Linked DNA regions of Coturnix japonica. The protein of the gene in region 1 purifies or fractionates together with the protein of each later gene. This does not show direct contact. Links are inferred from orthologs where the notes say so. Each region holds a gene or a part of one and is shown in the gene's direction. Other genes may lie near its edges.

Evidence for each region.
Region 2: the proteins of MED9 (region 1) and POLR2E purify together in Homo sapiens (affinity purification with mass spectrometry; 4 studies listed by BioGRID and IntAct, with this or other methods). This does not show direct contact. The link is inferred for Coturnix japonica from reciprocal best matches to the Homo sapiens genes MED9 and POLR2E.

Annotation. Positions count from the first base shown.
Region 1 is NC_029529.1:4,804,359-4,808,102, forward strand, and holds the start of MED9 (mediator of RNA polymerase II transcription subunit 9), read left to right. Parts: upstream 1-992; 5' UTR 993-1,027; coding exon 1,028-1,176; intron 1,177-3,744.
Region 2 is NC_029543.1:2,009,196-2,012,939, reverse strand, and holds the start of POLR2E (DNA-directed RNA polymerases I, II, and III subunit RPABC1), read left to right. Parts: upstream 1-1,110; 5' UTR 1,111-1,189; coding exon 1,190-1,246; intron 1,247-1,319; coding exon 1,320-1,494; intron 1,495-2,183; coding exon 2,184-2,299; intron 2,300-2,571; coding exon 2,572-2,652; intron 2,653-2,799; coding exon 2,800-2,858; intron 2,859-3,008; coding exon 3,009-3,087; exon of another isoform or gene 3,088-3,335; coding exon 3,336-3,401; 3' UTR 3,402-3,414; intron 3,415-3,691; 3' UTR 3,692-3,744. UniProt on the Homo sapiens protein: DNA-dependent RNA polymerase catalyzes the transcription of DNA into RNA using the four ribonucleoside triphosphates as substrates.

The DNA of each region.
Region 1 (3,744 bases):
GCATCTGCTATATTTAGAGCGAGCAGTCAATAATACATACGCACAAACGGTTACCAGCGTTCTCATTTGATACATAAATAGTTCGCTTTTCAAAAGAAATTGTTTTTTAAAATGAAAATTACCTTTCCCGTCATCCCTGGGCTATAACTAACTGATGAACCCGGGAGCTGAATTCAAATAAAAAACAAAATTATCTGTGCTCTCTAAGCCAATCCAGGAAGGATAACTCACGACTGTGGCTGCTGTTATCAGTGCTACAATAGTGTGTATTGACAGAGCGGTTTAAACGCGGCAGCAGCAGTTTGCTGAAGCACACTCCTGATGGTGCACAGGGGCAGCACTGCTCACCCTCACCTTCCATGCAGCGTGTTCTCCATCACCCCCTTGCACTCACAGCCCAGGCACCCAAGAACCCCACCTCTCCCCTCCTTGCAGCTTCATGGATGTCTCAGCCCTGCTGCTGGATTTTTGCCTCCATTCCTTCAGGTTTCTCCAGTTCCAAGCCCTGAAAGCCCTTCTCTTCTCCAGGCTGAACTCCCTCAGCCTGCCTTTATATGGGAGAGGTGCTCCAGCCCTCACAGCATCTCCATGGCCCTCCTCTCCAACGAGGACAGCCAGGAACAGTTGGGCTGCACACAGGTCAGGGATGCTGTAGGTCACACTGTGGGGTGCTCAGTGTGGGTGTGCAGGGCACTGCCTTGGGAGCACAGGCCCGGCTCAGCTGGGGAACACCTCAGCAGCAGTGCAGTCCCATATCTGAGACCCAGTCCCAAAGCTTGACCCCGGGCTCAGCCCCCACACCCACCCTCACAGCCCAGGACCCAGGGAGGCCTCCGAGCCCCGCTCCGGCCCAGGCCTCAGCCCCAGGCCACGGCCCGCAGCATCCCCACACCCCAACCTCCTGCCCAGGCCCAAACTGAGCCCCACACACAAGCAGCATCTGATGCTCAGCCCAGGCCGCCGCCGGGGCGGTACAGAGCGGCCGAGCTCCGCCCCGCTCCGTCACTGCTCGGCGCCGGGGGCCGCCATGGCCTCGGTGGTGTCCGCAGGCCGAGGGGCCGCCGAGGAGCCGCCGCCGGCCGAGCCGCCCACCGAGCAGAAACCGCCGCCCGCCCCGCCGGCAGCAGCGCAGGAGGAGTTCTCCTTCCTGCCGCTCGTCCACGACATCATCAAATGGTAACGGCGGCCGCACAGCGCCGGGCCGGCCTCACCACGGCATCACCCCGCAGGGATGCTCCCTCTGCCCTTTCTCTCCCCGCTGGGGTCTATGGGGGGGTTGGCAGCTGCTCTGCTCTGAGCCGGGCCCGTAGTTGGGGTCACCGAGGTGGGGCAGGGCCGGGTGTGCAGCAGCAGGAGCCGTGCCGAGCTGTTATTGCCCCGTATTGCTGCTCTGATGGGCTGATAAGTAAAGGACGGGCAGTCCCAGGGCAGCACTGTCTGTTTCTGGGCGTTGGGAGAAAGAGGAAGGCTTGTGCAGGCTGAGTCATCCTCTTTCCTGTTCAAAATCAATGCTGTGGGGTTAAAGGTGTTCGTACGAGGGTCCTGACAACCAGCGTTTGTGGCCCAGGGTAACCCTGTCAGAAATGTTTGAGTTCCCGGTAGGGGCATCGCCCTGCTGTGACCTGGGCACGTTGCACAGTGATGCAGAGGGCACAGGAAGCGTGAATTCCCACTCCTTGTTGTGGGTCTGACTGCCCTTTCCCTGCACGCTTCTATGGGAGCTGAGGCTGCTTTGTTTCCTGCTGGGGTTCTGTGTGTCTGAGTACCCAGAAGAGGTTCACCCTTATTAACCATGCAGCTGGAGGAGCATGGCAAGGAAAGGCCGAATACCCCACAGACACGGCAGCCTAGAATCTAGCTCTCCTAGATTCAGGAGAGCTATGAGAACTCAAACCCACCCTCCATTTCCCCCCTGCGCTGCCACTGTCCCTGTGCTCAACCCTGCCTGATCCATCCAGAGGTGATGCTGAACCTGCTGCCATCTGTATATGTGTGCAGAGCCAGAGTGAGCCAGATCCACGGGCTGAGACCTCCCAGCCTCCTGTGTGTCACCAAGCAAGTCGTGGCGACCCACAATGACAGTGCTGGGATATCCTGTGCCCTGTCCCTCTGAGCCACCCACTCCCACTGCCCCGCTCCCCCCCAGGTTGGCACACAGCATTTCCTGCACGGGGTGAGCAGACGTAGGTGCTCAGAGCAGCACTGCAGAGGGGTCAGACGGCAGAGCCGAGCAGTGGGATGAGTTGCCTCATGTCCCTGACAGATGGCAAACGTATTATCCTTTAACGCCGCCGCCAGGCTCACAGCCCGGCCCTGCTGTTCTGACACTGACTCAGCCCTGAAGACATTTCACATCTCCAAGGTGACTGTGCTGGGGTGCAGTGATGTATCGCGTACATTTGCTTACATTCAAGGACACGTGTTCCTTCCTGTTGTTTGAGTCCCAAGAAAGTTCTCCCAGGCAGGGCTTGCTGTTACTTTCACCCTTGTATAATCAGATGAGGTTACCTGTGAGGTCCCTGTGCGTGGTGGGTTGTGCTGGTGTATCCAGGAGCTGCAGGTGGGACATGATGGAGTTATGATTTGTTCACAGCAGTGAAGGAGAGCTGGTGGGCAGCTGGGGAGGGTCTGAAGATCTCAGTCCTTGAAGGGAGATCCCAAGCACTGTGAGGCTGTGGCTGGACATTGCATTTAATCCTGTGTAACTGCAGGTAGCTGAACCTCTTCCCACTCTTGCTCTCCCCCCTGCCTTTCCATGCCTGCAGAGGAGCTGCTTCAATTACTTGAAAACTCCCATCAGAAACAAAACAACAACAAGCCTGAAAATAGTTATTCCTTCAAACCAACCAACCAACCAGGCAACCATCCATTCTTTGGATGTGGAGAAGAGAACGAGCTGTGGAAGGACCTGGTCGGCCCTTTGAATCCAGCATGCAGCTCGTGTGGATTAAAGGCAATGCCAACCCATCCTTCCCAGATGTGCAATGTGTGTGTGCCTGTATTTTTCCACTGTCAACTTGACCGTAAACGCCTGCATAATGGGGGTACATTATAGTACCAGCTGCGGTTTTATTTAGAAGGGAGTCATGAATATTTTGTTCCAACAGGCTGTTGAAATGAACGGGACCATCTGGTTAAAAGTTTTGCTCTCAGTCGTGTCACGATTCCCCAAAGTTCTAATCAGGCACCTCTCTGCCCTGGTCATGCCAAGCAGTTTTATTTTGGGCCTGGCTATTGAACAGGCTCCCAGCTTACAGGGGCCGTTAGCAGCCTGCTCTCGTTATTAGCGCTGCCTTGGAAGCAGTCTCGCCTTTGCCTGGAATGGTAAAACTCCTTGCTGTAGCTAACAAAGCTGAAGCAGATACTAATGAGGGTTTGAGGGCAGACGCTGCCTCAGACGACGCTGATCCTCGAGAAGCACGGAGCTGCAGAAGCAATTGTGCTGCTCTTAAAAAATAAGCTGTCGCTTCTCTTTATTAGGTAGACATCCCCGGAGAGTCGTTCTGAAGCTCCGAAATGCCGTTTTCTCTGCCATTGGACACACTCTGGTACTTTGGGGAACGATTCCTATTTTCTGCTGTCAAGCTGTTTGACTGCATCGATTTCTTGTATTGCTTTGACAACAGGTCACAGACGGGGCTGAGGTCTTTTTTCCCAGGTGCCCACACACAACCTGTGTGTGTGTAATCTTACCTTCCCCATATGGGAATTGAAACAGAGTGAGAGGCTGTGGTAGTGTTTGAA
Region 2 (3,744 bases), on another chromosome or scaffold:
GCCAATATGCGCAGCCCTTTCTCAGCGTATCGTGCGTGCAGGTCGACAAGCTGAGTGTAATTCACTGCAGTCTTTCCTCATTTGGAAGCCACGTTGGTGATGATGCAGACGAAACCCCTGGAGGGGTAAAATAGGGGGTAAAAGGAACCTCTGTGGGGGTAAATGGGGTAAAATAGGGGGTAAAAGGAACCTCTGTGGGGGTAAATGGGGTAAAATAGGGGGTAAAAGAAACCTCTGTGGGGGTAAATGGGGTAGAATAGGGGGTAAAAGGAACCTCTGTGGGGGTAAATGGGGTAAAAGGAATCTCTGTGGGGGTAATATGGGGAAAATAGGGGGTAAAGGGGGTGAAATAGGGGGTAAAAGGAACCTCTGTGGGGGTAAAAGGGGTAATATGGGGTAAAATATGGGGTAATATGGGGTAAAATAGGGGGTAAAAGGGGTGAAATAGGGGGTAAAAATGGGGTAAAATGGGGTAAAATAGGGGGTAAAAGGAACCTCTGCGGGGGTAAAATGGGGGGGGGGGTATATAATACAGCCCATTGCTGTGTTGCTGTATGGTACATATAATGTCTCTATAATGTCTATATAATGTCTATATAATATATATATCTAATAGACCTGTATTGCTCCAAGGCCACGTCTCGGCCGTCGATATCCGTGGCGTGGAAGTCATAGATGGAGGTGGCCGATCGCCATTCATCCGCCTGCGCGCACTGCGGGGCCCAGCGGTCACAAAGCGGCTCCGAACCCCCCCAACCCCCCCAGTACCGACCCGGTTCGGTTCGGTTCGGTTCTGTTCTGTCCCCCCCCACTCACCATTGTCCGCCCCGCTCCTCTCGCCGCCGCCGCCCCGCACAGCAGCGCCCGCCCGCAACGCCACCCCCACCCCATCCCGCCACCGCTCTCCCCCCCTTTGACCAATCAGCGATTAGGACGCGCGAAGGCACCGCCCACTTCTTGCAGTTGCGCAATGCGAGCCGCTCCCTTGGGTGATAGACAGGCGAAACCACCAATCAAATCAGCGAGGCTGCTGCAGTGTCAACAAGGGGGTGGTGTCCTTCCGCCATTCCACCCCGCCTACATCTCCCAGCGTTCCCCGCGGTCAAGGACCCCTCGCAGGGCAGCCCCGCCTGCTCGTTGTGGACAGGCATTGAGGCGGGCAGCCTCGTGGGGTCCTTCAGGAGGCAACATGGACGACGAGGAGGAGACGTACCGGCTGTGGAAGATCCGCAAGACCATCATGCAGGTGCGGGCCGGCCCGGTTCGGTTCGGTTCGATTCGGTCCGGTTTCAGGTCTCATATGTTGTATTTCCCTTTAGCTGTGCCATGACCGCGGTTACCTGGTGACTCAGGACGAGTTGGATCAGACGTTGGAGGAGTTTAAAGCTCAGTTCGGGGATAAACCCAGCGAAGGCCGCCCGCGCCGAACGGACCTGACCGTGTTGGTGGCACATAACGATGATCCCACGGACCAGATGTTCGTGTTCTTCCCCGGTGAGAAACGGGGCCGGGTCGGAACCGGGTCAGAAACGGGCTGGGACCGGGTTGGGACTGGGTTAGAACTGGGTTAGGACCAGGTTAGGACCGGGTTGGGACTGGGCTGGGTCTGGGTTAGAACCGGGCTGGGACCGGGTTTGGACCAGGTTGGGACCAGCTTAGAACCGGGCTGGAACCAGGTTAGAACTGGGTTGGGACTGGGCTGGGACCGGCTTAGAACCAGGTTGGAACCGGGTTAGGATCAGGTTAGAATTGGGTTAGAACCGGGCTGGGACCGGGTCAGAACGAGGTTGGGACCGGGTTAGGACTGGGTTAGAACTGGGCTGGGACCGCGTTAGGACCAGGTAGGGACCGGGTTAGAACCGGGCTGGGACCGGGTTAGAACTGGGTTAGAACCAGGTTAGGACCGGGCTGGGACCGGGTTAGAACCGGGTTGGGACTGGGTTAGAACCGGGCTGGGACCAGGTTTGGACCAGGTTGGGACCAGCTTAGAACCGGGCTGGGACCGGGTTAGGACCGGGCTGGAACCGGGTTAGAACTGGGTTGGGACTGGGCTGGGACTGGCTTAGAACCGAGCTGGGACCGGGTTAGTACTGGGCTGGGACCAGGTTAGAACTGGGCTGGGGTCAGGTTGGGGTCTGGTGGTGCTCCTGGTTCAATCTCACCCTGCTCTTTTCCTCCCTCAGAGGAACCCAAAGTCGGCATTAAAACCATCAAGATGTATTGCCAGCGCATGCAGGAGGAGAACATCACGCGGGCTCTGATCGTGGTGCAGCAGGGAATGACCCCATCGGCAAAGCAGGTACAGTGTGATGTGGCCCCGGGGCTCTTTGAGCTGTGCTGGGTCCATAAAGGCAGAGTTCAGGCTCTGTGCCTTAATACTGGGCTTATACATTGAGTGCACTGAGCTGGTGCTGGTTGGGCACAGAGATCTGTTTCCTCTCTGCCCATATGACCATATCAATGTGAGCACAGACACCGTGTTGCCCTCCTGCTGCTGTTCATCTTGGGGCATCTCTGAGCTCACACTGTCTCATATCAGTGCTACAACCTGATGTGCTTCTCCCTTCCCAGTCCTTGGTCGATATGGCTCCCAAATACATCCTGGAGCAGTTCTTACAGCAGGAGCTCCTGATCAACATCACAGAACACGAGGTGAGTGATTCAGGCCGGCCCTCCCAGCCCTGCCCTGTGCTGGGTTTCCCCACCAGAGCTTTGTTCCTCCCCCCAAGTCTTGCAGCTATGCAGAGCTGGTTGCTTTCTCAGACTCTTATGATCTCTCTTTCTCTCTCCTGTTTACAGCTGGTCCCAGAGCACGTTGTCATGACAAAAGAAGAAGTAACCGAGCTGCTGGCCAGATAGTATCCTTTGTTTGGTCCTTCCCTTGCAGTCAGGGTGTGATGAGTGCTTGTCTTGGGCAAGAAATGGATTCCTTTGAGTGTGTGATGTTCTGTTAGCTGTGCCCTGCCTCAGGACAAGCAGACACAGAGCTCCTCCTTGACTCCATGCAGTAAGCTGAGGGAGAACCAACTCCCCAGGATCCAGGCTGGGGATCCTGTGGCCCGATACTTCGGGATAAAGCGAGGCCAGGTAAGAGCAAATAGCCTGATAACAAACAGCAGGGCCCTGCAGGCAGGATGGGGAGCTGCAGCACAGTGTGTCAGAGCTTGGAGATGGGAAAGGTTTCCTCTTTGTTAGTGTTTTTGTTTCTGAACGTTATGGGTTATGTAGAGATGTGTGCAAGGCAGCAGATAGCCCTGGGGCCAGGCTTGGCTTCCTGCTGAACCAGCTGCTGTAACACCAGCCATCCCCCATTGCTCCTTTTGCTGCCCTTCCAGGTGGTGAAGATCATAAGACCGAGTGAGACCGCAGGCCGTTACATCACCTACAGGCTGGTGCAGTGATCAGAGCTCTCAGGTAATGTGTGAGATCCCCATCTACGGGCAGTGCTTTAAACTTATGCTGTGGTTTTCTAGGGGTGACTTGAAGTGAGTTGGCTCTGGGAAAGGATTCCCTCCTGATTTGCGAAGGGAACTGTATGGGATGGATCAGAGCAAAGCTATACTAGGGTTTGGTGCCTCAGTATCACAGCTGAAGGCACATCTCAATGTTCAGAGCAGCAGCAGGGCTTTGCTTTGAGAGCAGCTGCTGAGGGAGACATGAGCTCATTCACGTCCTGACTTATTTCTTCCAGTTGTGAAAGAATTCTGTGACATCTGATCTTCCCACCCACCACCAGCTCTCAGC